Coturnix japonica: one gene and its partners. The protein of the gene in region 1 interacts with the protein of each later gene in a pairwise test. Links are inferred from orthologs where the notes say so. Each region holds a gene or a part of one and is shown in the gene's direction. Other genes may lie near its edges. The genes, in order: TNIK, SRGAP3, GSE1, GOLGA4, DPYSL3, NEFM and WWC1.

What was found.
Region 2: the proteins of TNIK (region 1) and SRGAP3 interact in a two-hybrid assay, tested with the Homo sapiens proteins (2 studies listed by BioGRID and IntAct). The link is inferred for Coturnix japonica from reciprocal best matches to the Homo sapiens genes TNIK and SRGAP3.
Region 3: the proteins of TNIK (region 1) and GSE1 interact in a two-hybrid assay, tested with the Homo sapiens proteins (2 studies listed by BioGRID and IntAct). The link is inferred for Coturnix japonica from reciprocal best matches to the Homo sapiens genes TNIK and GSE1.
Region 4: the proteins of TNIK (region 1) and GOLGA4 interact in a two-hybrid assay, tested with the Homo sapiens proteins (2 studies listed by BioGRID and IntAct). The link is inferred for Coturnix japonica from reciprocal best matches to the Homo sapiens genes TNIK and GOLGA4.
Region 5: the proteins of TNIK (region 1) and DPYSL3 interact in a two-hybrid assay, tested with the Homo sapiens proteins (2 studies listed by BioGRID and IntAct). The link is inferred for Coturnix japonica from reciprocal best matches to the Homo sapiens genes TNIK and DPYSL3.
Region 6: the proteins of TNIK (region 1) and NEFM interact in a two-hybrid assay, tested with the Homo sapiens proteins (2 studies listed by BioGRID and IntAct). The link is inferred for Coturnix japonica from reciprocal best matches to the Homo sapiens genes TNIK and NEFM.
Region 7: the proteins of TNIK (region 1) and WWC1 interact in a two-hybrid assay, tested with the Homo sapiens proteins (2 studies listed by BioGRID and IntAct). The link is inferred for Coturnix japonica from reciprocal best matches to the Homo sapiens genes TNIK and WWC1.

Annotation. Positions count from the first base shown.
Region 1 is NC_029524.1:17,398,789-17,402,288, forward strand, and holds part of TNIK (TRAF2 and NCK-interacting protein kinase), read left to right. Parts: intron 1-779; coding exon 780-944; intron 945-2,845; coding exon 2,846-3,085; intron 3,086-3,500. UniProt on the Homo sapiens protein: Serine/threonine kinase that acts as an essential activator of the Wnt signaling pathway. Recruited to promoters of Wnt target genes and required to activate their expression. May act by phosphorylating TCF4/TCF7L2.
Region 2 is NC_029527.1:16,731,003-16,735,132, reverse strand, and holds the start of SRGAP3 (SLIT-ROBO Rho GTPase-activating protein 3), read left to right. Parts: upstream 1-1,330; 5' UTR 1,331-1,495; coding exon 1,496-1,562; intron 1,563-4,130. UniProt on the Homo sapiens protein: GTPase-activating protein for RAC1 and perhaps Cdc42, but not for RhoA small GTPase. May attenuate RAC1 signaling in neurons.
Region 3 is NC_029526.1:15,702,065-15,705,215, reverse strand, and holds part of GSE1 (genetic suppressor element 1), read left to right. Parts: coding exon 1-29; intron 30-1,353; coding exon 1,354-1,934; intron 1,935-2,572; coding exon 2,573-2,685; intron 2,686-2,921; coding exon 2,922-3,151.
Region 4 is NC_029517.1:77,612,169-77,615,668, forward strand, and holds part of GOLGA4 (golgin subfamily A member 4), read left to right. Parts: intron 1-70; coding exon 71-91; intron 92-285; coding exon 286-354; intron 355-940; coding exon 941-1,016; intron 1,017-2,073; coding exon 2,074-2,177; intron 2,178-3,500. UniProt on the Homo sapiens protein: Involved in vesicular trafficking at the Golgi apparatus level. May play a role in delivery of transport vesicles containing GPI-linked proteins from the trans-Golgi network through its interaction with MACF1. Involved in endosome-to-Golgi trafficking.
Region 5 is NC_029528.1:247,325-251,482, forward strand, and holds the start of DPYSL3 (dihydropyrimidinase-related protein 3), read left to right. Parts: upstream 1-1,358; 5' UTR 1,359-1,381; coding exon 1,382-1,672; intron 1,673-4,158.
Region 6 is NC_029537.1:2,110,435-2,114,368, reverse strand, and holds the start of NEFM (neurofilament medium polypeptide), read left to right. Parts: upstream 1-1,134; 5' UTR 1,135-1,187; coding exon 1,188-2,252; intron 2,253-2,446; coding exon 2,447-2,571; intron 2,572-3,680; coding exon 3,681-3,934. UniProt on the Homo sapiens protein: Neurofilaments usually contain three intermediate filament proteins: NEFL, NEFM, and NEFH which are involved in the maintenance of neuronal caliber.
Region 7 is NC_029528.1:7,316,148-7,319,647, reverse strand, and holds part of WWC1 (protein KIBRA), read left to right. Parts: intron 1-718; coding exon 719-795; intron 796-1,703; coding exon 1,704-1,783; intron 1,784-2,672; coding exon 2,673-2,802; intron 2,803-3,402; coding exon 3,403-3,500. UniProt on the Homo sapiens protein: Regulator of the Hippo signaling pathway, also known as the Salvador-Warts-Hippo (SWH) pathway.

The DNA of each region.
Region 1 (3,500 bases):
GCTACCTGAAGATATTATGTTTCCATCAAGATTAGCTGAGAGAGCTGGGCTTTGTTTTTATTTCTGTATCAGTAATGGAGTGTTCTTTTCCTTCCATACATGACAAGGTGCCAGACTCAGTAAATTCAGATCAAAGCCAGCCATTTTCTGGCTGCCATGTTTATTCTTTTATTCAGATCAAACAAAAGAATTCCTTGTGGGGCTCATAGTAGTGAAGGAGTAGGGTCCCCTGGCTCACAGGTACATTTAAGAAGCAAGAGCTTCTCAGAAGTCATCTTCTAGAAATACATATTTGAGGCGTGCTGCATCATCCTGGAGCATTAATTTTCCATTTCACGCTCAGAAATGAATTATGCGCATGAAATACAAATAGTCATTTTGGAGTCTTTGAAACACACTTTTTGCACAGTCTGCTGGGTATCAGGAGTCCCCTAGTCATACAATACCCAGATATATCTAAAGACTAAAGAGTTTCCTGTAGATTTGCATACCTTGGCTTTCAGTTAAAAATGGCTCTTTCTGGGTCTTCCTTACCTTTGTAGAAGCTGGAGGTTCCTTTCAGGTTTCTTGATGGTATTTGATTGCCTGCACCAGCAGCCTGTGGGAGCTGAGCTGTGTTCAGCTTCGGGTCAATGTAGCAGGACCACAGGGACCTCTCTCTGTGTCCATATTAAAACCCAGTACCCTGAACAACCATTTCTTCAAATCAAAGATGAGATTTTCATATAAACCAAGAAATTCATCAAATAACCAGTCAGTTTCACCCCCTCCTCCTGCAGGTGGAGGAGCGCTCCCGACTCAACCGTCAGAGCTCGCCGGCGATGCCACACAAGGTGGCCAACAGGATTTCAGACCCCAACCTGCCTCCTCGCTCAGAGTCCTTTAGTATTAGCAGCGTGCAGCCAGCGCGGACCCCACCCCTGCTCAGACCCGTGGACCCGCAGGTAATGGTGCTTCCCCTAACTGGTGTCCATACAGCACCCAGGATGCCGGGGGTGCCGATAAGGTAAAAGGAAAAGTAGTGTTAAAGTAGCATCTTGCTCTGTTATGTCTTAGCCTGAAGCATATTTGTGAGGTAGAGCAAGCAGCATCTGCATTCATGAGTTGATCTTTGTCACCTTCATGCGTTAGAAACATCACGCTGGTTAATACCTTCCTTTGAAGCATCAGGTCCTGGTTACTGCCAGAAACAAGCTGGAGGACTGAGAGGAACTGCTGGTCTGGTCCAGTGCAGCAGTCTCTCTCTTCCTCTTTAAATCTGTTTTATTAAAGGACTGAAACCACAGTGCTTGGTACAATAACCCAGGGCACTTTGATGCTGGGCATCATCAGAAGGAGGTTTTACTTTCTTTCTCACTTCAATTTGGGGGTTTTGTTTCTTTTTTTCCATTGAGTTAACATCAGTCACAAACACATCTGGAGAAGGCATAGATCAATCACCATTACCATTGCAGAAGAGGAGAACTGTGCTTTTAAGTTACCCTAGTTGCAAGGTTTGTTACTAGGCTTCTGGAGCAAGTTGGTGGAGCATCAGCGCTGGGTTGGCCACTGGAAGTGCTCCTGTGGGTGTGCAGACTTGAACAGGCATTTCACGGAGAACAGAGCCTTTCCTCCACGTTCAGTTGGGCTTTCTATGGGAAAATGTGGAAATAAAGGGCCATCCACATGGAGTATGTGCCCCCATAGGTCAGCAATACTGCAGTGATTTCAAACAAAACGCATGCTGGAAAGCCCTTAAGTGGAAAGCTCTTTCTTCTCCAGTGCATATGCATTCTGTATGCATCATAGACATTGGGAAGTGGGTAAAACTCCACTTTGCAGACTTCTCAGTGATGTCTCTGATTAACCAAACATTTCCTGATTTCAAGTCTGGAAATATTTTTCAGTGATTCTTCTCATGATCAATATTGTCAACAGCTATAAAGGCTTTTGCTTGACAATGAAGCACCAATGAAAAAGCTGCTTGAAACTCAGAGATCCATGTAAATACGTGTGTCTGCACACATGCATGCATATCCATGCATAAATAAATGTATGTAGAATTGCCATGCTTCCCCCAAAATACCAATTACAGATCTGCTGTAGCAAGGAAAAGGTCGTGGTAGATATCGCAGGGTTCTGAGAAGAAGCTCATAAACTCAAATGCTGTGAGTGTTTCTGATTTTCCAAACCAGATGTCAGCGTTCCTTTCATTCACTCATAAGCCTTAGATCTGTAGACCTGATCTAAGGGATGGGATTTGTAGCCTTATAGAAACTCATGCCTCAAGATTCATTTTTAAGCCATCTATGCCTCGGAATTCCTGACGCTTTTTTGTTTTTTTAACTTATTTTTTTGTAATTATTATTTACTGTCGTTTCTCTTAATTATTATTCTTAATGAGGAAATTCCATGCCAAACATCATCAGCACAACCCTAGAGTTACCAGATGTAGGAGCTTGACATAGAGCGTATGGTGGGCACAGCCCAAGGCGTGCATGGCATGTGTGTGAGCTGCCCAGGGCACCCTGCCTGCGCTCCTTCAGTGCTGCTGTGAGTTAATGCTGCATCCCAGTGCCTGTGCAGAGCTGAGACGTGGCTCTGACTGCAGCATTTCCCCATCTCCAAGTGCTGAGCATGATTTTTAACAGTTCTTGCATTGAAGTGATGTAAGTCAGAAGTTCCTGAAACCAAGGCAGTGCTGATCTCAAACCAAGGGGGCTTTTTTAGTGCATCCAATGTGCTAATTGATTTTTTTATTTTTTTTTCCTAAAAATCACGTTTTTGATTTTTCTCTTTTTGATCCGCTTTTTTTTTTTTCCCTTCCCATTTTGTACTGATAGTTGTGTTTTGACTTGGTGCTTAGATTCCACATCTGGTCACTGTGAAATCCCAAGGAAGCTCCTTGTCTGGGTCTCAGTCACTGCATGAACAGCCTGCAAAGGGGATGGCTGGGTTTCAGGAGGCTCTGACGGTGACCTCTCACCGCACTGAGATGCCAAGGCAGAACTCGGACCCCACCTCAGAAAACCCTCCTCTGCCCCCTCGCATTGAAAAGTTTGACCGAAGTTCTTGGTTACGGCAGGAGGAAGACATTCCACCAAAGGTAACACTACTGCTCCTCGCTTTCAGCACATCAAAGAGGCCATCCCAGAGCTGGTCCCTGCAGGACTGGGCTGACACTGGTCCTCTTTGTCAGTCAGTGGAGCTGTGCTGTGGTGCTGTGCTTTGGTGCTGTGCTCAGCACCTCTGGCCAGGCTCACTGCTGTGGCTCCGCAGCAGGGGATTGACCCTGCAGATTTTGCATGAGCTGCAGAGACATTGGGAGCTGCTTACGGGTACACGCACAGCACTGCAAAACAGCATTGCCCTCCAGCAAAGAAGGTTCTTGAGCCCGGACCGAGCCCAAAACAAATCAATTTCTCCTTGCCCTAGGAAAAAAAACAACGACCTTCTGTTTAAATAGAATTACAGGATCATAAAATTCATCATGCGCAATAAGATGGGTCCTTTTGGTCCAG
Region 2 (4,130 bases), on another chromosome or scaffold:
GCAGAAGACCCTGACTATTATAGAATTACGTTTACTTTCTGTTTTGTTTTGTTTTTCTTTCACCTTTGTATTGCAGATTGTTTGGGTAAAAGTTGTTTTCCAAGGCCCCAATCATGGCAGTCTTTGCTGCACATTGAATATCGAGTTGCAAACTCTGTACTTTAAAGGTATGGAATTACTACATCACTTAACCTTGATTTGGGAAATTATGTGGCATTATTTTATACCACAGATCTTTGCTTCACTTCCCAAATTCACTGTTGCCAGAGATTTCCTGGAGAATTCCTTCACACCTCCCAGCTCTCCTTGGCATCCTCCCACCAGCCCCACTCCAAGCACGGCTCTTCTGCAGCAGTGCCGCTGCCTCTGGCTGCTCTTTGGCTCTTCTTATGGCTGCTTGAAGCTCGGAGTGCTCCTCTGTGTTGCAGGCCAAGGCTAGGTAAATTATTTGTTTAGCAGGCTTGGTTTATTCTTTGTAAGCTGGCAGAATGGCTGTATCACCAAATCCCCTTGCATTCATTGGGCTTCACAGGGACAGCAACAAAAGGATTCATTGTGCGGAGCAGCAGCGTGAGCTCAGCTGGGACCAGGAAGATGACTGGAGGCCTGATGCGATGGGCTGGGAGTGCAGGCAGAGCACAGGGAGCAGCGTGGGCCACTCCGGGATCTGCTGTGTCCCTGTGCCACGGGCACCTCAACTGCAGAGAGCGGCTCTGCTTGGCCAGGGCCCCGTCCGGGCACCTTGCTGTGAGGACACGGGCAGCTTTGCTCCTGGGGCTGGGAGATGCACTGTGCTGTGCTGTGTTATGCTGTGCTGTGCTGTGCTGTGTTATGCTGTGCTGTGCTGTGCTGTGTTATGCTGCGCTGTGCTGTGCTGTGTTATGCTGTGCTGTGCTGTGTTATGCTGCGCTGTGCTGTGCTGTGCTGTGCTGGGCGCTGCCACGTTTGGTTCGACCCTCGGGGCCACGCAAACCTCCCAACACCTCTGTTACTTCCTGCACGCTGTCTCGCGGCCTGCCCGCCTGCCTGGGGCCGTCCCGCTCCGCTGCTGCTCCTGCGGTACCCAAAGCATCGCACGGAGGTGCAGACCCAGCAGCAGCAGCTCCCGACGGCACAGCCGCGGCCTCCAGAGCCGCGACAGCCCGGCAGCACCCCGGGGCCGCGCACCGCCTCCGCCCCGCCCCGCCCGCTGCCCGGCTCGGTGTGTCGCTCCGTCCGCCGGCGGAGGGCGCGGCCCGCAACCTGAGCGCGGGAGCGGCACGGCACGGCCCGCCCAGCGCCGCACGGAGCAGCGGGGCGGGGCCGCAGCGCGGGCGGGGCCGAGCGGGGCCGGGCCGGGCCGGGCCGAGCCGTGCCGTGCCGTGCTGTGCCGTGCCGTACTAGGCTGGGTTCGGCTCCGCGGCCGGCGGCGCTGCGCGGTGTCCCGGCCCCGCCGATGCGGCCCGTGGCTGGGTGAGGCGGCGCGGCCGAGCGCCCGCCCGCAGCCTCCCGAAAGATGTCCTCGCAGGGCAAGTCGAAGAAGGACAAAGAGATCATCTCGGAGTACGATGCGCAAGTGAAGGGTGAGCGGCGGGCGCTGCGGCGGGGCCGCGCCTTTGTGTGCGGGGCCGGAGCCGCGGGCGGTGCGGGGTGGGCGCGGGGCCGGGGGCAGCGCCGGGCGGGCTGAGCTGAGCTGAACTGAGCTGAGCTGAGCTGAGCTGAACTGAACTGAACTGAACTGAGCTGAACTGAACTGAGCTGAACTGAACTGAACTGAGCTGAGCTGAACTGAGCTGAACTGAGCTGAGCTGAGCTGAGCTGCGGGGCCGCCGGTGGGGCCGCGCCGTCCGCGATCCCCGCTGTCGCGGCTGAGGCGCCCTCGGTCAGCGCCGGTGGCTGCGGGCTACGTCGGGGCGCGGCGGAGCTCCGGGCGCAGCTCGGCAGGTGCCCGGCGCAGGGCGGCAGTGCGGGAGTGCGGGCGGGTACGGAGCCGGGCGGGGGCCGCGGGCGGGGAGCGGAGCTCCGTGCGGAAATCTGAGTCGTTCCTGTGTGGGTTCCTCCGTGTTTCTCTGGGAAAGGCTCGGATCGATCTGGTCAGGGAGGCCCTGATCTTGCGGGTCTTACGTAAGGCACCTCGGCGTGCGGCAGGCAGCGCTGCCAGGGGACATGGTCGTTATGCAAGCCCGGCTCTGCAGAACCAAGGCGTCAAAGCGCAGCGCTGTATTCGTGGTGTTAGAGTACAGCACCATCCGAGGTAACGTCTGCTGGGACCGCTGAGCACCACGTATCAGCTCCACCTTTCATTCAAGCTGGGCTTGTTGTGTGGAGGTCGGTGCTCCCCGAAGCATCGCAGATGCCTGCAGTGTGGTGGAAGCATTGCATTGTTGCATGTGTGCAGCTGGCAGAGTGCGGGGCCTCCTCTGTGCCATAGAAACAGGGCATTTAATGGCAGTAGCCAAGTGTTAACTGGTGTCCATCCATGGATAACTTCAGTTTGTGAGTGCGTCGGTTGCAGTGTCAGTCTGTGACTCCAGCTATCGGTGGTCCCTTCCCACACCCTGCCCAGTCATTGCGATGCCCCCCGCGCTGCCCCCTGCTGCTGCTGGCACACGGAGCTCCCGCAGCCTTCGGGTGGTCGTCCTTACGGGCACCATTTTGTGTTGTGCAAGTCTGTGCTTAAGGCAGAGCTAATTAAAAACACAGCACGAGCTTTCTGAGAACGAACCTGTGACCACGAGAGCCTCACTTCCTTACTTTCCCTGGAGGTCACTGTGGTTGGACCTTGAGCTCTGCAGGCACCGGGTGCTGTGTGCGTACCCTGGTACCCTGCGTGGTGCAGCGCTGCCAGGCCCTGGGGAGGGGCTGCCTGCTGACACGGTGCCATTGTTTATTTTCTTGCATTTCAGTCTTTTGTAGCTGGCTTTGAAGAGTGATGTAACAGTCACAACACACTCTGCTCAGTGCCAATTACCTTTCTTGTGTGTAATTTGGGCACACTGATGTTATGGCACCCTGCTGTGAGGCAGACGAAGTGTTCTCTCAGCCCGTGGTGCTGTTCAGTCCTGCAGGGGGGATCCGTGTGTCCACAGCTGCGGGCGGTGCTGGGGCACTGCAGGGCTGGGCAGTGCAGAGCTGGGTCACAGCTGGCTTGGGGCTGCTCTGCTCCATGAAGTTCTGCTGCAGACGTCTGCGGTGGGTTTTTTTGTGTTTTTTAATTTTATTTTACTGTGTTTGTAACTGGAATATTCATTTGCTGCGATCACTCTTGGCCTGACATCTGTTGTAGCCTCATGGGCTCCATATGTTGGATCATGAATGCCAGGGTTATGTATAAAGATGGTTTATTGCAGCATGGTGATCACGTCTCGGGCTGATTTCTGGGCAGCGGTAACACAGGCAGAGTGCTGGTGGGACTGTAATCATTGTTTGGTGCTATTGTGTGCCCAGTTACGTCTCCAAAAATGGCCATTTTCTGACTGAGGGCATCCACTCTGCTCTTGTGTCTCAGCAGCGGGCAATGCAGGTTTCCCCACATCTAAGGCCAGGGGGATGCAGGAGCCAGAGGAGCCCTTGGGGCGGCTGCATTGGTGTCACACAGCTGGCACGGGGGGTCTTATTGTCACCCAAGCCCTTGAGGGTAGTGATGTTGACACAGATCCTGCCTCCCAGTGCCCGCTGCCCTTGGCTCAGGCTGCATCGCTACCCCAGGAATCTGCTGCTTCACTTCAGGGGTTGGAAGATGGACGCACTCTGCAGTGGGCTGCCTCTGAAGGTGTCACATCAGAGATGGCCGAGTGCTGGCCAGGGGGCTGCCAGCACACAGGGGACTTGGAAAGCAGCAGCCATCTCGCAGTACTGGAACACGGGGTTGTATGAGTGTTGTAGAGAAGTTTGACAGGTAGGCTGGCAAAGCGTGACAGCGCAACAACAAAGAACAATATGTTGCTTAGGAAAGTTGTGCTGGCAGCCCTCCTGCTGGGGCCATTGTTAATGGTGACAGGGGATGGTGTGTGATGGGTGTGGGGCTGAGCTCCTGTGCACAGGGCACTGCCGTGTCCTAAGAATTGGTAGGTGCACCATTTGTGTGGGAGGTGTGACTGGTGTAAGTAGGATTTAACTGGAGAATTCTCTTCCTGCACAGGGGTGTTGTA
Region 3 (3,151 bases), on another chromosome or scaffold:
GAGCCCGAGCACCGACCTGACAACCCCAGGTAGGGCTGCACACCCCAAGTGGGTTTATCCTCTCTGCCAGGATGCAGGATGCCCCTTTCCATGCTCCCTCTGCCCATTTTCCTGCTGGTTTCATAGGATTTTCCCATCTCGCTGCCATTTTCGCCACCCTGCGAGCTGGCTCTGAGCAGGACGAGCTCCCCCCAAGCTCAGCCTTCATGCTTTCCCCCCCTGCACCAGGCGAGCTGTGTGTCCGGTGCCAGCAGGTCCCCGCCGTGCTGTGCCAGCCGGGCCGGCTGTGCTGGCAGCGCCGTGCGGTGCCACTGCCTGACATCTGCGCGGCAGCAGGCGGTGAGCCCGGGAGGTGGCTGGGGGCCAACGGCGAGCAGCCAGGTGCTGCCGAGGCAGCGACATCGCTAATTGCAGCTTCCCCTGTGCAGCCTGAAAGCTGCTTCTCTGATAGAGGGGATGCGCAGTAGGATGAGGCGAGGGGGGCAGCCCGTGCCCACAGCTCTGCATTGACGCGGGTTTTCTCGCTCTGTTGCTGAGCGCTCTGGTGGTGTGGGCTTATCCAGTCGGCTCTGCTGCCGGCTCCCATTGTTATTTTTGGATATCAAGGGGATTAGCGCGGCTAATCGAGTATAACAAGGAGCGGATTGCGGGGCGGCACAATGGCAAGTGCCTGCTGCAGCCGCCCGCCCCCATCCACACATCCCTCCCCAAAGCAGGGAGGAGACATCAAGGTCACCCTGAGCACAGCAGTGAGTGTGTGGGGGGGTGTTCTTACAGCCTCATCTCCCTCCTATCCCATCTCCATCTTCATCCCATCCTCATCTCATTCCTACTCCTATCCCAGTCCCTTACTCAGCATCCTGCCCAGCCCCTTGTAAGTGCTGCCAGAGACCCCCAGATGGTGGGGAGGGATGGGGACAGGGACCCTGCTCTCCACTGGGGCAGGTGATGCCCTCAGCCCGCAGTGCTGGTGCCTGCAGGAGCTCTCCATAGAGCGATGGCAGCTGTGACCCGACTGGCAGCACTGAGCCCTCCCTGCTCTGCTGCACAGAGGTCTGGAGCGCTCGAGTGGAAAAGCGTTAAACGCTCCTCTCCGGAGCATGAAATATTTATCCTGCTAACAGGTTTGCTCCTTCCCTGGGTGTTTAGGGAAGGTTTCACTGTAGTGTCACTCTGTGTGCAGTGAGAGCCTGTGCCATCCCGGTCCCACAGAGGGGTCCCCTGCCCTGTATCCCGTTCCCAACCCTCCCCCCTCCACCACGTGCATCCAACAGATCATTTCTCCATAGATCCAGCTTGCAGAGAGGATTTGCTTCTCCTCTCCATCCCTCTCCTCTCCTCTCCTTCCTGCAGGTCGGGACCAAGCCGCCACGAGCCGAGCATCCGCGAGCCGGGGCAGCACTTTGGTGGTCCACCACCACTCATCTCCCCCAAACCCCAGCACCACCCCATTGCCACATCCCTCTGGAACCCCGTCTCCCTGATGGACAGCCCCTCGGAGCCCCCCCGGCGCCTCCCTGAGCCTCACATCCTCCACGGCCACCCGGCCCCCTTCGAGCCCAGCCGGCAGGGCATCCCGCTGGTGAAGGTGGAGAGAGTCTTCTGCCCCGAGAAGCTGGAAGACAGCTCAAGGAAAAGGGATGCGCTGGACAAATACCCCGTGCCACGGGAACCCAGCACTGCAGAGCACACAGGCTTCACCCACACACCATTCCTGGCCGAGCTGGAGAAATCCACGCAAAGCATCCTGAGCCAGCAGAGACCCCCAGCCACCCCTTTTGGGGAGGTGACCAAGCCCAGCTCGCCCTACAGACCCCCCCAGCCCCGCACGCAGGACCCCATGTACATCTACGACGAGTTTGTGCAGCAGCACCGCAGGCTGGTCAGCAAACTGGACCTGGAGGAGCGACGACGACGGGAGGCCCGGGAGAAAGGTGAGGAGGGGGTTTGGGACCCCCCACCAGGACCCCAATGGGGGAGGCCAGGAGGGGGCTCCCCAGTGATGCCATCAGCTCAACCCGCAGGCATTCGATGCAAGTGCTCCCGAAAGCCAAATCAGAGCGGCTTGGTAAATCCTCCGCTCTAGACATGCCCAATTAATAAATGATGAACTGAGGCTAATAAGCTGGCTTTAAATATTAATAGGGCCGTGCGAGCGGGGATGTGAACAGCAGCGAGGAGGAGATGGAGCGAGGTGTGGGGGCAGCACTGCCATCCCCCCTTGTGCCCCATTAACCTGCTGAGCCCGGTGCTCCCCATCAAGGCAGGCAGTGGTGTCCCCAGTGTCCTTGGCACAAGGTGCTCCTGGGCTGTGTCCCTCCCTGGTGCCCCAGCAGCAAAGGGAAGAGTCAGCCCTCCCACTACAAGCAGCCCACAGAGCCATAATTCTTCCAGTCCCCCTGCAAAGCCATCCCAAAACAGAGCTGAGCTGGGATGCTGTGGTGAGCATCCCCACCCAGCAGAATCCCAACCATTCCTGGGGTCCCAGCAGCTTCCCAGGGTCCCAGCAGTATATATGGGGGGGTCCCAGCATGGCCCCCCTTGGCTGATATCAGCTTCTCCCCATCCCCAGGTTATTACTACGACCTGGATGACTCCTGTGATGACAGCGACGAGGAGGAGGTGCGGGCACATCTCCGCTGTGTGGCCGAGCAGCCCCCGCTGAAGCTGGACACATCCTCTGAGGTAAATGGGCACAGCACTCGGCTGGATGTGGGGCTGAAGTGGGACTGGGGATGGAAATGGCAATGGCAATGGGGTTGAGGATGGTGACGGGATGGAGATAGAGCTGAGGTTGAAGGTGGAGATGGGGATGGAGATAGGAATGGAAATGGACATGGGATGGGGATGGGAACAGGGATGGGAACAGGTGCTGTGCTGCTGTGGGGCTGACCCAGCTCTGCTCTCCCCTCACGCCCCAGAAGCTGGAGTTCCTGCAGCTCTTCGGCCTCACCACGCAGCAGCAGAAGGAGGAATTACTGAGCCAGAAGCGGCGCAAACGCCGGCGGATGCTGCGGGAGCGCAGCCCCTCTCCACCCACGGTGCAGAACAAGCGCCGCACGCCATCCCCACGCCTCCCCCTCTCCACCCGCTACAGCCCCGACGAGATGAACAACAGCCCCAACTTCGAGGAGAAGAAACGCTTCCTCAC
Region 4 (3,500 bases), on another chromosome or scaffold:
GAGATATTTAGTATTTTCTTTTTTCATACCTACGTTTTCATCCTTTTTTTTTTTTTTTTTTTTCTTTTAGGTAGCAATAGCTGAACTTCAGGTAAGTTTTGATTTATTTATTTTTTTAATGTTCGTTTTCTATGTAATGCTATGTCACATCACTTTGAAGCTAGCAGCACTGCTTATAAGTTCGTGTGAATTGAAAGTTAAAAAAAAAAAGTAAAGCTTAAAAGCTTATTAAAGTGGTATGTTCAGGAGTTTTTTGAAATTTTCTGTATGTGGCTGTTCTTTCAGGCACAGCTTGCACAGAAGACAACGCTAGTCAACGATTCAAAGTTGAAAGAGCAGGAGTTCAGGGAGCAGGTAAGGGCACTGTTTGAACAAAGGAAAAAACATCATCTGATTATTTGTACTTGCAGTTGAAACTATTGGTTCCTTTCAACTGATGATGTAGCACAGCTCTATACAGCAAGTATAATACTAATACATGTAAAATAGTTTTGGCTCATACATCTATGCACATTGTCAAAATACTTCTCGGTCCCCAGGGTATGAAAATACCAAATATAAGTGGTGCAGGTTATCAAAAACATCTGCAGAATGAAAATTTACAAATGTCCTTTTTGAAATTATGTTTTCCCACTTTTTCTAAACTAGATTTTCTGGTTTTAGGTAAAATAAGTAAATAATGTTATATCTGTGTTTTAATATATGTATATGTATGTATATATATGTATATATCACATGAATATAGGTATATGAATATGTATGTGTATAGATATTTTGGTGTGTCTATATGCACGTGTACACAATTTTCTTTAGTTAGGCACAGTTATTAATATCTTATTTGAGGGCAAATTGCTCTACTAGAATTTCAGGATGTTTAGCTGGAACTTCTTATGCTTACTTTTAACTTCAACAGTTCTGATCATGACTCATCTCTGTCTAGATTCATGTACTGGAAGACAGACTAAAAAATTATGAAAAGAAAATGTATGTCACATCAGTTGGAACACCATACAGAGGTATGCATGTAATTTTCATCACACAAGTTTGTTTATTTGAAAGATATGCTTTTGTTTAGAGAATCCATTAATATATCTGGGGTTTTTTTGAAACATTTATCTTACAAGTGAAACAGCTCTGTATCAGCAATCTGTTATCTCTGGGGAATTGATAGAGGCAGTTTCAGTGAAAATTTGCTGGAGGGGAATTATACCCTAGCTTAACTGAATACAATTTTTGACTCTTTAAAAAATCTTAAATATGCAATCATTAGATTTCACAAAGCTTTCTTGTGTTGCATGTTTGGACTTTTGCTATTCTTATAACTAAATGCCCTTTCCAAGATCTGCTCTGACACCTTGATTACCGTGCTGTTACTTTTCTTCCTGTATCCATATTTATTAAGAGCACTCCTTTAAAAAGTTGTCTTGAGGAGTTACTTTAAGCAAATCACTTTATTATTATCTTTAACCTCTCTGCGGACCATTTCTTCTCTATCAAAATTCCACTTTCCCTGAAGACTTGTATCCAAATTAGTCCAACACCTAATTTAATTTGCCATTGGCCTGTGATGCTGGGTTTATGTTAAATTGTGAATCTTTCTATCTTCCATCTTGGTGAGAATAAAGCTAAACTATTAGTTTATTCTCTATAAATATTCCTCAGAAAAGTTATTCTTCACTGCTGTCTTTGCAGAACTTGATGAAGGTAGTCATAGTTTGGTATACAACTTCCTAGCATATTCACCAATGCCTTTTTTTTTCTTAACTTTGTACTCCTTTTTTTTTGTTTCCATGTATGTATCTCCAGCCTTACACCTAGTCTGTAAGACAGCTAAAGCTAAAAACGAAACTTCATGAGTAGTACGTTGTTGAGGATTTTTAATTGTGCTGATCCATTATGTTTTATGCTTCAGGAAATTGCTCTGAGTAGGTTTTAGGCATCTGGCATAATTATGGTTGTTACGCCCATGTTTCATACTTGATTACATTTTGTTTCAGTGACTTTCTGACTATGAATAACTTACATTCTTATGAGTTACTCTTAGTATAAATATACTTATTTTTGTTTACACAGATGGAAATCTTCATCATACTGACGTTTCTCTCTTCGGAGAGCCCACTGAGTTTGAATACTTGAGGAAAGTGCTTTTTGAATATATGATGGGTCGTGAGACAAAGGTATGGAAAGTTGTATACAGTGATGTGATGTGGGTTAGAATGAAGTTACGTTCCTTGCTGTATTGATCTTAAGTGCCATGATGATGGCAATTCATCATGCATTTTCTGTCTGTGTAAAAAGACTCAATGGACTTTCAGGGCTTTCTTAGAAAGAGACATGTATCTTTACCAGCTTCTCTGGAACGCTGAGATAAAACACAGGGGGAGTGAAAGGAGAGAACACCAGGGAGGGGGAGTGTGTGTCACATCTCTCACCAAGGCACTTACAGAAACAAATAGCCCTCCAGGTAGGTGTTATTTTACCAGCAGAAGACTTAATGTCAGTCAGGCTTACTGGACTTTGAAAGCTGATATGCACTGTATTAGCAAACTACTTTTGTGATGTTATCTTGTTGCAAATATGATTAAGTTACAGTTGTATTACCCTGTTACAAGCTCTGAAGATGAAGGGTTGTTTGTTTTTTTTTTTCAAATTGTTCCTTAAAGATCTTTTATAAGACTCCCAAATCTGTGTACCTTCACTAGTTAGTATTAACCTACTATTAAAAGCAGAGAAAAGCTGCACAGTAGGCTCCTTGTTGTATGCTGACAAGCTTGTGAAATCATTCCTATGTTGGAATTTTACTAGCTTGTAACAATACTGATGCTAAGACCAGCTTCAAAGGAGGTATGTCGTAACACAAACATTTTTCTTGGATGACAAATGCTGTGTGGATGTGGATGAATATAGGGTTTTTTTTTCTTCCCTGGGGTTCTTCCATTCTTTGTTGTACTGCTTTCAACTTGGACAGTTGCTAAGTAAAAAGGTTTTATGCAGGGTTCTGTGTTAACTGTGCTCCTTATGGAATAAATCTTGGTCTACACAGGACTTCTTGTCCTTAGAAGATTCCTCTTTCTTTTTATCCCTTTTCTTATTTCACTATTTAACTCCCATTTTATTAAAAATACAAATTCTGGATCCAAAAACAACCACCAGAATCACTAGTTAGCTTCTGTTCTTAGGCCTGTGGCTCATTGGATGGCTCTCTTACCTTAATAGCGTCTGTTAGAAATCATTAAATAAAAATATATATTATTGGATATTACACTTTTGAATTGCAAGGGACTTAAACACAAGAAAATGATAATAATAATAAACCCTAACAACAATAACAAACTTTGTCGGCTATGTTCCAACTTCAGCCAGCCCTTGAGACTGTACTGTAATGGATGACTAGTACATATTATTTACAGGTAGGAAGCATTCCTTCAGTTGCTTTGATGAAAAGATGTTTATATTTGTGTGAGTATGTATTTGTCCTGGAGATTGCACTCTATGTAATT
Region 5 (4,158 bases), on another chromosome or scaffold:
GGACACACAGTGTTCATGACTATTTATATGTAGTGAGCCCTTTGTTCTCCTGGCCCTTTGGACCTGAATAATTGGTCAAAAATATAAGGTCCTAAAAATTGTTCTGCTTAGGTGGGGAAAAAAGGGGCAGAGTTGGTTATTGTGGTACATATTCAGAAACAAATGCAGGCTGCTTCCCAGGGCACAAAAGGAAGGAAACAATTCCAAGTCATTTCCCTTCCCTTAGCTTCAGGCCTCTGTTAGCCAGCACCCACAATGTGCCTCTCCTACTATCACCACGGGGTCATTGTTCTCTGTGATGGGGTCAGGCTCCATGGACACTTTTCCTATGTGAGAACCACCAATCCTTGGAGGAATGCAGACAATTGTACTGCTTTCTTTCTTTCTCATAATCAACAGCATCTCATAACACAAACAGGGGGAGCAGGAAATGACTTGGAAGGATGTTAAGCCCAGGTATGTTGTACAAATGTTCTATAACAAAAATAAGTACTTGGAAAAATAATTTGAAGTCAGTACTCTGGTTTTGCTGCTATGTGATGAATTTGACAGGCTCAATTAAACACCAACTTGCATAGTTAAAGCTCAGCTCTGCCTCTCTGTCTTTCAAGACTCCCGTGCTTTTGCAATGAAGTTGCAATGGAAATCTCAGAACTTAGCCAGAACGTGCAGCTCGTGTTTCTGGCTGTGTTTGCACGACAGTTTTTGCAGCAGATTCTGCTTGCGTGTATCTGTAAGGTGTGACTGACAACGTGCTCCTGTAGCGACCGCACATGTGAGCACGATGCCACACTGCCCTGTACCTGTGACAGCCGCCTGCAGGCAGCGCCCGCTTTGCCATGAAGTCAAAAGCTCACCAACGTGCCATCTTCGTCAGTCGCGTGCTCACACTGGAGCTTATTCCTTGAGAGTGAGCCCCAGTGAGCACTGCCAGCAAAGCCAGCAGCGGGATGGGCTGAGTTTCCACCCTGGATACCCGGTTCCATCGCTGGAGATGCGCCCGCGGGCGGACGTAGCGCCGCAATGCGCTTCAACGCCCCGACCCGGCCCGGGGACGAGGCGGCGACGGGACCGGAGGGTCGGGACGAAGTGCCGCGCGGCGCGGTCGCACGCGCCCCGTCATCCGCTCCGCGGCTTCAGCTCAGCGCCTTCAGCCCGGCAAACGCTCTCCAGGAAACGAGCCCCGACGGCCCCGCTCTGCCGCTCCCGACCCCGCGGGCGGCGACGACACCTCCGGCCCCGATCTGCCGGCAGCCGGCCCGCCCAGTCGAGCGGCCCCCGCGCCTGCCCCTGGGGCCGCCCCGCTCCCGCCCGCACCCCGCCCCGCCGGGAAGCCCCCGCCCCAGCCCCGGCCCCTTCCCCGGCGGCGCGGCGGTCGGGCATGGCGGCGGGCGGGCGGCGCGGCAGCGATGAGCTGCCGGTGTACCTGGCGCGGCCGGGCACGGCGGCCGTACCCCGGCAGAAGCGCGGCGGCCTCTTCTGCAGCGTCGAGGGCGCCTTCGAGAGTAAAACCCTGGACTTCGGCGCGCTGCGCGTGGGGCAGCGCCGTGCCACGCCGACCGCCGCTCGCCCCGAACCGGACCCCGCCGCCGTCCCGGACACTGACCCCGGGGAGGTCCGCGCCGCCGCGGACAAGGAGCGGCTGCAGAACGTGTCCCCCGACGACGAGAAGGTACGGGCCGGTCGGTGGGAGCTTGTCCCGGCGCGGGGCGGGAGCTCTTCTCGGCGCCCGGCCGGGGCTCGGGCTCGGCTGCGGGGCGGGTCGGGCTCGGGGGAGCGGCAGAAGGCGCCGCTGCCGTTCTCCGTCCTGGCGGCGGTAACTCGCGGCTGTTGCGGCTCGGGCTGTTGTGTGCGTTGTTGCTTCCTCTGCTTTAGCAGGAGGAGGATCTGCAGCTCCTCTCGGTCTTCCTTAAAGGAAGCAGAAAAGTTTTCCTGTTATCTTCCAGCGTGCGGAGCTCCTCTCTGCGAACTGGCATGTCAGTGATTTTTGGAAATACAATCAGAAGATACACACCCCATTACTAAGAAAGCTCTGCGTTAGAGTAGCTGACTCTTTTTATGACAGTTACTCCTTCTGTACTCTTGGACATCCTCTTCTCCCATCCCCAAAAAAGGGATTTTAGAGTTGCTCTTTGGAATAATCTCAGCCCAGCCCTGATCTCACTGTGACACGGAAGCCAGAGACCTCACGCTGACCTGGAAGTGGCACCTCTGAAGGGCAGCGTCGGGCACAGTGTTTCTGAACTCATGCCAAACTCATATGAACAAATAAATTCAGTCTTAACAGCACGAGGTTCTTCAGCCAGATGTTGCTTTTTTGGCTCTGATGCCAATATACATCAATGTGAGTTTGGCAGGAGGGTTTTTAAGTTAATAGTGCTGAGTAAGCGTGTCATCTGGGATTTCACTGAGTCTGGTGCTCACATACAGATGTGATGCACACAAGGCTGCTGGCTGGCCTGCTGCTCAACGAGTACAAGGGTGAACATTTGTAGTAAATAGCAATAATAAGGGCACTGTTTTTCGAGGGAGAACAGGGCTAATCAATAAAGCCCATTTTTAAAACTGGAAGCAAAAATCACTAAACTCAGCAGCAAGAGGGCAGCTTAACCTGAAGAAGTGATGTGATATTGCAGAAACGCCATCTTATGCCCAGAGCACAACCACTGCTAAAGTTCCCTTCTGATCTGGAGCACTGAGCTCAGCTGGGGCCCGGCGGGTGCAGAAGCAGTGCTGTGCAATGACTTGGCCTGTATTGGTGTTCGGGAAAAACATCAAGCTGTTCTCAAGGTCTCCTGTGTTCCAGACGAGCTTATAGCTTGGCAGCTGGATGCTTTGAGGTTTCTTCACTGTACTTTCATTTCTTCGGTCTTAGCTTTCAGGTTTCTTACTGGCATACTGGTTGTTCCTGCTCTTGTGGGAATGAACTTTACCCGGCTCCTATCAGTGCCAGCCTTGTCTGTATGGTTTGATTAACAGTTGCAGAACTGACCACTGAAATAACATTAAACTGACGCTTGTTGAAAAAGAAACAGAGATTTGCAGCAGCGTGTCTGTGGGCTTTTCTCCAAGCTTCTCATTAATTAGCTGTACCAATATTTGGAGCAGTCTCATTCCCTTTTAAGGTCTTGTTTAGACCCTTCTACCAGAATTTTGCAGTTGAGATTTCCCTTCTTCAGCAACTCTTTCTGCTGTTTTCTGCTTCCAGATTTCTTCCTCTGAAGCCTTCCATTTGATAAGCATCAGCAACTGAGCCCTTTTTATCTACACTTCTTGCCTGAGAGGGTGGGAAGCTTCACGTATAAGTGTTCTTGTTGCTGCCTGGCCAGAAAGAATCATATGACTTTTTCCTACAACTTCCAAGTTCAGGAGTGCCCTTGAGAGTAGCATCCCCGATGGGAAGGGCCCCTCTGGCGCACTGACCCCCTGCTATGGCTGGTCATTGTGTCTGTGCAGCCACAAAGAGTTTGCTTGTGTTGAACTCTTTGCAGTTTCAGAGCACACAGAGACTCCTTTGTTGAGATAAACTGAACTTCTTTGAATATTTTCTAGATTAAGAAACAGAGGAAAAGGTGAAGTGATCTACCCTTGACCAAGCAACTGTTTGTTAGGAAAGCTGAGAGTGAAGGACTTATCATGCAGTGGGCAGCAGGTAGATAATTATTCTGTGAACACATAGTTGGAGAAGGAGGGAAGATTTAGGTTGGATGTCAGGGGGAATTTCTTTACTACGAGAATGGTGAGGTGCTGGAACAGCTGCCCAGAGAGGCTGCAGATGCCCCGTCCATCCCTGGAGGTGTGTAAGGCCAGGTTGGATGGGGCCCTGGGCAGCCTGGTCTGGAATTAGATATGGAAGTTGGCAGCTCTGCCTGTGGTGGCACGGTTGGAGGCTGGAAGGGATCCTTGAGGTCCCTTCCAACCCAACCGTTCTATGACACCAACACAACATCTCTTTTTTAATGGCATTAATTATAATTAAAGCACCACTATTTCTGCAGGAAGACACTGAAATGTGTAACTGCCCTGTGCTGACATAAAACCCATCAGTGCAGCACAGTACCCGGAAGATGTTTCAGCCTCACTTTACTTCATTGCAAAATCTACTGGAAAGTCAAAAACTGAGCTGTGGCTTCAGGCACAGTGAAGTCATTCCACTGT
Region 6 (3,934 bases), on another chromosome or scaffold:
GCCCATGTAGCTGATCCATCCACGAGGAGTTCAAAGTCTGGCTGTTAGCTACTGCAAGTCACCGTATGCAGCCCACAGAAAGTCTACTGCACCGTGTAAACATCATTCTTAGCAATGTTTCAAAGTAGGAGAAGTCATTTCTAAGCAATGCACCAAGCGTTATGTGGAAAGGTAAGGTGGGGGGAGGAATAAAGGGGATGAAAGCGAGATAAAGAACCAAGATCCAGGACTGCAGGGAGCTTTCCAGCACTACCCAACCTGCAACCCCTACCCCATAGGGAGGTAAAGCGCTTGCAGTGCTGCAAATCCGCCCGCAGCCCACGCAGTCTCCCTTCCCCGGATACTTTTATGACCTTCAAATGTCAACCACTGCCTGAGGAAGGGGAACTGGGGCGGGGGGAGTTGGTGGGGGGAAATGAGGAGGGGGCTGCCCATGGGACCCTCTATTCACCCCTACCCCCGCCCGGGGCCAACGACGGAGCCCCGGGGGAGCTGTCCGTGGTGCTGAACCCCCGGGGGAGCTGTCCGTGGTTCTGAACCCCCGATCCCGGCCCCGGCCCTACCCTGCGGGCTCCGGCACCGCGCTGCGCTCCGCCATGGCCACTGCGGGGGAGGAGAAAGAACAGAAGGAAAGGGAAAGGAAAGGAAAAAAGGGAAGGAAAGAAGGAAAGGAAAAGGGAAAGGGAAAGAGGAAAGAGGAAAGAGGAAAGAGGAAAGAGGAAAGAGGAAAGAGGAAAGAGGAAAGAAAGTGAAGATCTAAAGGAAGGTGAGGGGAGAAGGGGGCTGAAGCATGAGTGAAGGAACACGGAGAAGGGAAGAAGGGAGAAAGAGGAAGAGAGAAGAGGATGGGAAAAGGAGGATAAGGATAGGGAAAGGAGAAAGAGGATATGGAATAGGGAATGGGAAACAGCGGGTAGGGGGGAAGGGGGTAAAGAGGGTGCAGGGGGAAGGGGGAGCGGGGGTCGGGGAGCCGGGAGCTGGGAGCGGGGGCCGGGAAGGGATGGGATGAGGGAGGCGCGGAAGGGAGGGCGGAACTGAGGGGCGGAGCTGAGGCAGGGTCGGGGGCGGATACATCCTCACACACGTGTGTGGGGCCGCCCCGGAGCCGCCCGGCGGGGCTATAAAAGGGGCAGCGGCATCCAGAGCTGCGCTGCGCTTCCGTCCGCCACCCCCCGAGTGCCCCCACCATGAGCTACACCATGGAGCCCTTGGGCAACCCCTCGTACCGCAGGGTGATGACCGAGACCCGAGCCACGTACAGCCGGGCCAGCGCGTCCCCGTCCAGCGGATTCCGCTCTCAGTCGTGGTCTCGGGGCTCCGGCAGCACCGTATCCTCGTCCTACAAACGTACCAACCTCGGGGCTCCGCGGACCGCTTACGGCTCCACCGTGCTGAGCTCCGCAGAGAGCCTCGACGTGAGTCAGTCCTCGCTGTTGAACGGGGCGGCCGAGCTGAAGCTGAGCCGCTCCAATGAAAAAGAGCAGCTGCAAGGGCTGAACGACCGTTTCGCGGGGTACATCGAAAAAGTGCATTACCTGGAGCAGCAGAACAAGGAAATCGAAGCGGAACTGGCGGCGCTGCGGCAGAAACACGCCGGGAGGGCTCAGCTGGGGGATGCCTACGAGCAGGAGCTGCGGGAGCTGCGCGGGGCCCTGGAGCAGGTGAGCCACGAGAAGGCACAGATCCAGCTGGATTCGGAGCACATCGAGGAGGACATCCAGAGGCTGCGGGAGCGTTTCGAGGATGAGGCTCGGCTGCGAGATGAAACGGAGGCCACCATCCGCGCCCTGCGTAAGGAGATGGAGGAGGCCTCGCTGATGCGGGCGGAGCTGGATAAGAAGGTGCAGTCGCTGCAGGACGAGGTGGCCTTTCTGCGGGGCAACCACGAGGAGGAGGTGGCCGAGCTGCTGGCTCAGCTTCAGGCGTCCCACGCTACGGTGGAGAGGAAGGACTACCTGAAGACGGACCTGACCACGGCGCTGAAGGAGATCCGCGCTCAGCTGGAGTGTCAGTCCGACCACAACATGCACCAGGCCGAGGAATGGTTCAAGTGCCGCTACGCCAAGCTGACGGAGGCGGCCGAGCAGAACAAGGAAGCCATTCGCTCCGCTAAAGAGGAGATCGCCGAGTACCGGAGGCAGCTGCAGTCCAAGAGCATCGAGCTGGAGTCGGTGCGTGGCACCAAGGAGTCGCTGGAGCGGCAGCTGAGCGACATCGAGGAACGTCACAACAACGATCTCACCACTTATCAGGTCCTGCGGGGAGTGGGGTGCGGGCTGGGGGCTGCGGGATGCGGGTGGGGGGAAAGCCGGGGGTGCGGTCCCAACCCGCTGCTGCCGCCCAGTGGGTGGGAAGGACTTTAGGAAAGTCTCGCCGCAACTTTTCTTTCCCCCTTTTCCCTTTCTTTATGTCTTTGTCGTGATGGTTTGTTCTGTCTCGGCTGCAGGACACGATCCATCAGCTGGAAAATGAGCTCAGAGGAACGAAGTGGGAGATGGCGCGTCATTTGAGGGAGTACCAGGATCTCCTCAATGTCAAGATGGCCCTGGATATCGAAATTGCTGCATACAGGTAACAGGGGGATCGTTGTGGGCATGTCTGGAATATTAATAGCACTGCAGAGGCTGCTCTGAGATGCTTTACCACCAGCGAGAAGTATCTGTATGCGTTGAACACGAGCCAAATTAGAGCTTGACTGAAGTACTGCAGCCCTTTCACAATGCACAGACTCAAAAGTGTCTGCAGCCAGGAGGACAATGCAGAACTCCCTATATGCACACTGCACCTCAGTGCTGCACCCTGCGCCTGTTTTGCAGTAGATGAGTTTATTTTTAATTCCTGTTTACTTTGCATATGCCTTGCAAGCGGTGCTTGTCACTTTTCTCACTTGGGAGAGATGCTGTGCTTTGCTTGATCATGGTTTAAGCAGGCAGCGCTAACCTGCTTGTCACAAACACTTTTGCTTTTCTTGCTCAACTTTCCTTTGTCACGCACTCTGATCTGGAGCAGGAAAGCTGTGTGCTATTGCCATCACCTGGCAGGCTTTTGGTCTCTCTGCATCACTTCAGAGACCTCATCAGAACTGCTGATTTTTCTGGGTCAGAGGCTTAGATGAAAAATATACATTTGAATATGAAAACAGTCAAAAGAGAAAGCTGCTTTCAGATCTCTGTGAACTTGAGGCTGTTGAGGCAAGCATAGGCATTATAGGCTCTGCAGCTCTTTGCTGCCTGATGTGACTTGTATTGCTCTGCAGCCCCATTGTATGGCTAAAAGCAGAGAGGTGGGGGTGCCTACAATGAGCTTGGGTGTATGCTTGGCTGGCTTTGAAAGTCTCAGCAATGATGTTCCATTTGGGTCCATTCCATTCTCAGTTCACCTGAGTCATGATGCGTCCTATGGAGTTAATCACTTTCTTTGATGCAAAGGATGAATTTCAACTGCTCAGCTAAAGGTGATATGCTTGCTACATGCAAAGCAAGCCAAAAGGTGCTTGTTCAGTAAGAATTTACTGAAAGAGCTGATTAGAGAGAAGCAGATCTTGGGCTGTGAGCGATGGATAGTGCTGGTCTTCTCTAGCATATTCTACATGCGCTGACCTCATCCTGCTGACAGAGAGAAACATTGTCCCGTAGGTTGGGTTTCTAATGCTCACTATTTTTCCTTCCTGATTCTCTTAGGAAGCTGCTGGAGGGTGAGGAGACAAGATTCAGTGCCTTCTCTGGAAGCATCACTGGACCCATATTCACACACAGACAACCATCGGTCACAATAGCCTCCACTAAAATACAGAAAACCAAAATCGAGCCACCAAAGCTGAAGGTCCAGCACAAATTTGTAGAAGAAATCATCGAAGAGACAAAAGTAGAGGATGAGAAGTCTGAAATGGAAGATGCCCTTGCATCTATCGCAGAAGAAATGGCAGCAAAGGCTC
Region 7 (3,500 bases), on another chromosome or scaffold:
TCTTTTCACTCTCACTGGATTATATATTAAAGGTGGTGAATCTTGTGCCTGATGTCAGAAAGTATTTAAGTAGTCTTGTCATTGAGGGGTTCTTAACATTTGAATAGGGTCCTGTCATCTCTGAAGTAAAGTGTTTGGTCTCCACCGAAGTGCTGGTGTATTAAAGCAATAGGTTATGAACTTGAATTGCATTGGTGTGGTGCTATTTGTAAAAATACAACCAAAGAACTAGGAATGTTTTCCCATGTTTTGTATGGCATAAGCTGATGGCTGCAAGGATCAAAGTAACTCCTTTGCCTATGGCTACTTTTCATGACATTGCACGTTGGGGAGCTTCTGTACTTTCTGAAGCATAAGGGTTTTAACTGCTGCTGAGAAGAGAGTTCTGCTCTTAATGGGGTGCTGATTTAATCCAGTGTGACACATTGGGTGATTGGTTATGTCCTCAAGCCTGTGAGAAGGCTGGCATCACCTTTCGTGTTTTTCACTTTCCTTTGTTTCTGAATATTCAGGGGATTGTTTATACAACCAGAAAGTGAAAAAAAAAAAAAAAAAAAAAAAAATCCTAATGCACTGTTTCCTTCAGTTATGATAAATTCTTTTAGAAATGCGAGAAGTGAGAAGAGAGATTCTAGTAAGCTTGATTCATAGTTTGGGGCTGATAGAAGAGTAGGGGAGGATGATAAAGCTGCTAAATTCAGTGTTTGTTTTGCTCTAGTGCTGTCTGGCTCATCGTCAAGTTCCAAGTACGACCCAGAGATCCTCAAAGCAGAGATTGCTACTACGAAATCCAGGGTAAGAAGTACAAATGGACTTTCACTTGCCACAGGCAAACTTCAGATATTTCCAAGCCTCATGAAAAATATTGAAAGGTGACTCAAAAGCAATTGAAAGAGCTAATTTGCCATTCCTTATCTAGGAGATAAAATATCAGTATTCTCAAATGTTACCGGCTTAGATTGAAACAATTGTTTTCCTAATAGACTTTAGACTTCCTTGTATGCTGATAGTATGTTTTGCTCCATTTAACTGCATGCTCTCTCCTCAGTGCACTGCAACACCAGAGAGCTACAACGAGCTCTCTCCAGAGAATGGCAGCTGTTTTGTCGAGAGCTCAGTGCAGATTGTTAGCAGTGGCAGTGTGTTCTCTCATGCAGAGCTTGGTTTGGAAGAAGAAAGGACTGAAGTAAAGTAGGTCAGTCCGGCCTCTGTGGAGGAATATAAAACAAGCTGTAGGGTCAGTGGATTTACAATATGTTTTATCAGCCTGCTGTGTTACTCGTGCAGTGAGGCCTTTTAATTTGATATCTTGGAGGATGGTTTGTATCATTGCAATGTAACTCCAGTCCTGATACTTAACGTTTTTTAATGTCTGGAAAGGTTTTTAACATCAGTGAGTAAAATCAGCGTGTGTTTCATTCCTGACTTTTGATTTTATTTTATTTTTTCACCACATTTTCTGCTTGTGAGATTAAGCTTCTTGTGAGCCACTGTTTAAATAATGTGGTATCTGGGTGCTGGATAAATCCCTAGACACTGAAAATGTCCTGAAGAAGATGCAGTCAGCTGTTAGTTGCTGATGCAGTGATTATCTGCAAAATGTATCTAGATAATACTGTCTACACACCAAAAAAAAGTATGAATTGAATGGTTACTTCTGTGCCTAAATACTCATGTGAGGTGTTGTTCTTAACTTCCTACAGGTCAATAAACTAAAGAGGGAGGTAGCTCACATGAAGCAAGAAATCCAGTACAAAGAGCATGGATTTCAAACGCTGAAGAAGTAAGTTGGATCTGAAGGTCTTACTCTTGGTTACGTTTCTGGCTTGTAGTACATCCCCTTCTTCGTTTACAAATAGCTGCCTGAAAAACATAAGCTGAAATCTGTTGCTGCTGAGATCTTTAGGCACGTGCAACTCAAATCCATGGGGTTATTTCCTTCAATTCTGTGCCTGTATGTGATTAGCTGGATCAGAACTGAGTTCATGGGGAAATTACTTTTATACCTTTTGATTGTACCTTGGTTCATTCTGTTGCACTCAATTTTTGTCAACTTGCTTACAGTACAGACTATTGTCATAGTAGAAAAAGACAGAAAAAGATAAATAGATAAAATGAAAAGAAATTGGGGTGGGGATAAGCTTCAGGTGCTTATCTCTCTGTGAATAAACGGATGGCATTTTATAAGTAATGTCACTGATATAGTGTCCTGTAGTTTTCTCTCAAGTACCAACTTAAGTAAATAGTCCTTTCAGAAGAGGGCAGGATAAAGTGGTTTGTGATTAGCTTGTGCCTTTAAATATATCAGTGTGAGGTCTATGCTTTAAAATAATATAGTTAGCATACGATTAACTTACCTGCTTTAGAAACAAGGTAATTAATAGCAGTCTGTCTAAACTGTTTTTTTCTGTTGTTTTTTTTTCTCTTGTCTTTTTCCTCCCTAAAGATTCAAAGCAATTACATGGCTAAAATCAGAGTTTTGATGTTTAATGTATTTCTGAGTGAAGTGGCTTAAAAGGAACCAAGAACTCCAATCATCACTGCTTGTCTATGTTATACTTAGTGTGTTTTGTTAAAAATGATTGTCAAGCTGGATATGTCTAGGCTGATTTATGTAATGCACTTCATTTAAAATGTTGGCTTACTGTATGTTTTCTCGAATTTCTACGCAGTATTGACATGAAAATGTCTGATACTCAAGGTGGCTACAAACTTGATGAAGCACAAGCCATTTTAAGTGAAATGAAAGCTCTCAAGAAGGCCATCACATCAGGGGAGAAGGAAAAGCAAGACCTCATTCAGGTACTGAAACAGCTTTCATAGCATTTTGTCCCTGTTAAATTTTTTAAATCTATATAAATTATTTCGGTTTTCAGACATGTCTTTTAATATATCATTATTATATATTATATATAAATTGTATAATGATATATATATATTAATCTAAAGTAGTTCTGTATTGTGACTGGACCTTAATTTTCAGACTTTGGAAGTACAAAAAAGTAACATAACTGACAGTAGTGAGCACTTGGTTAGAGATGTGCTGTTGTCTCAGGGTTTCTTGAACAAGAATGAAGCAGTGTACTTGTCTGTACTGCTGTCAAAGAGCAGATATGCAGAAACCATCAAAACACAGTGGCCCGTTTGGTCTGTTTCCTCCAGCAAACTCCCAGCAGAGAACATGTGGGCATGAGACTGTGTTAATGTTCTCTGTGCTCAGCAGCACAGCAGCCTCATGCTTTAGGAGGTGCGGTTCAGCCTTGCCTGGCTTCACGTTTGCAGGGTCTGACTGTATGCACTGAATAGTCAGATCCTTAAATCACATAGTTTCAGTCAGGATTTATAGCTGCCAAGGTATTTTGAGTGAAAGTGAGCTCATGTGATGAATTTTTATGGTTTCAGAGTTTAGCCAGATTAAAAGACAGCTTTGTGAATGACAGAGGATCACAGTCAGACCTGTGGGCCAGCAATGTGTCCTTAGAAAGCTCAAGCTCTTCGTT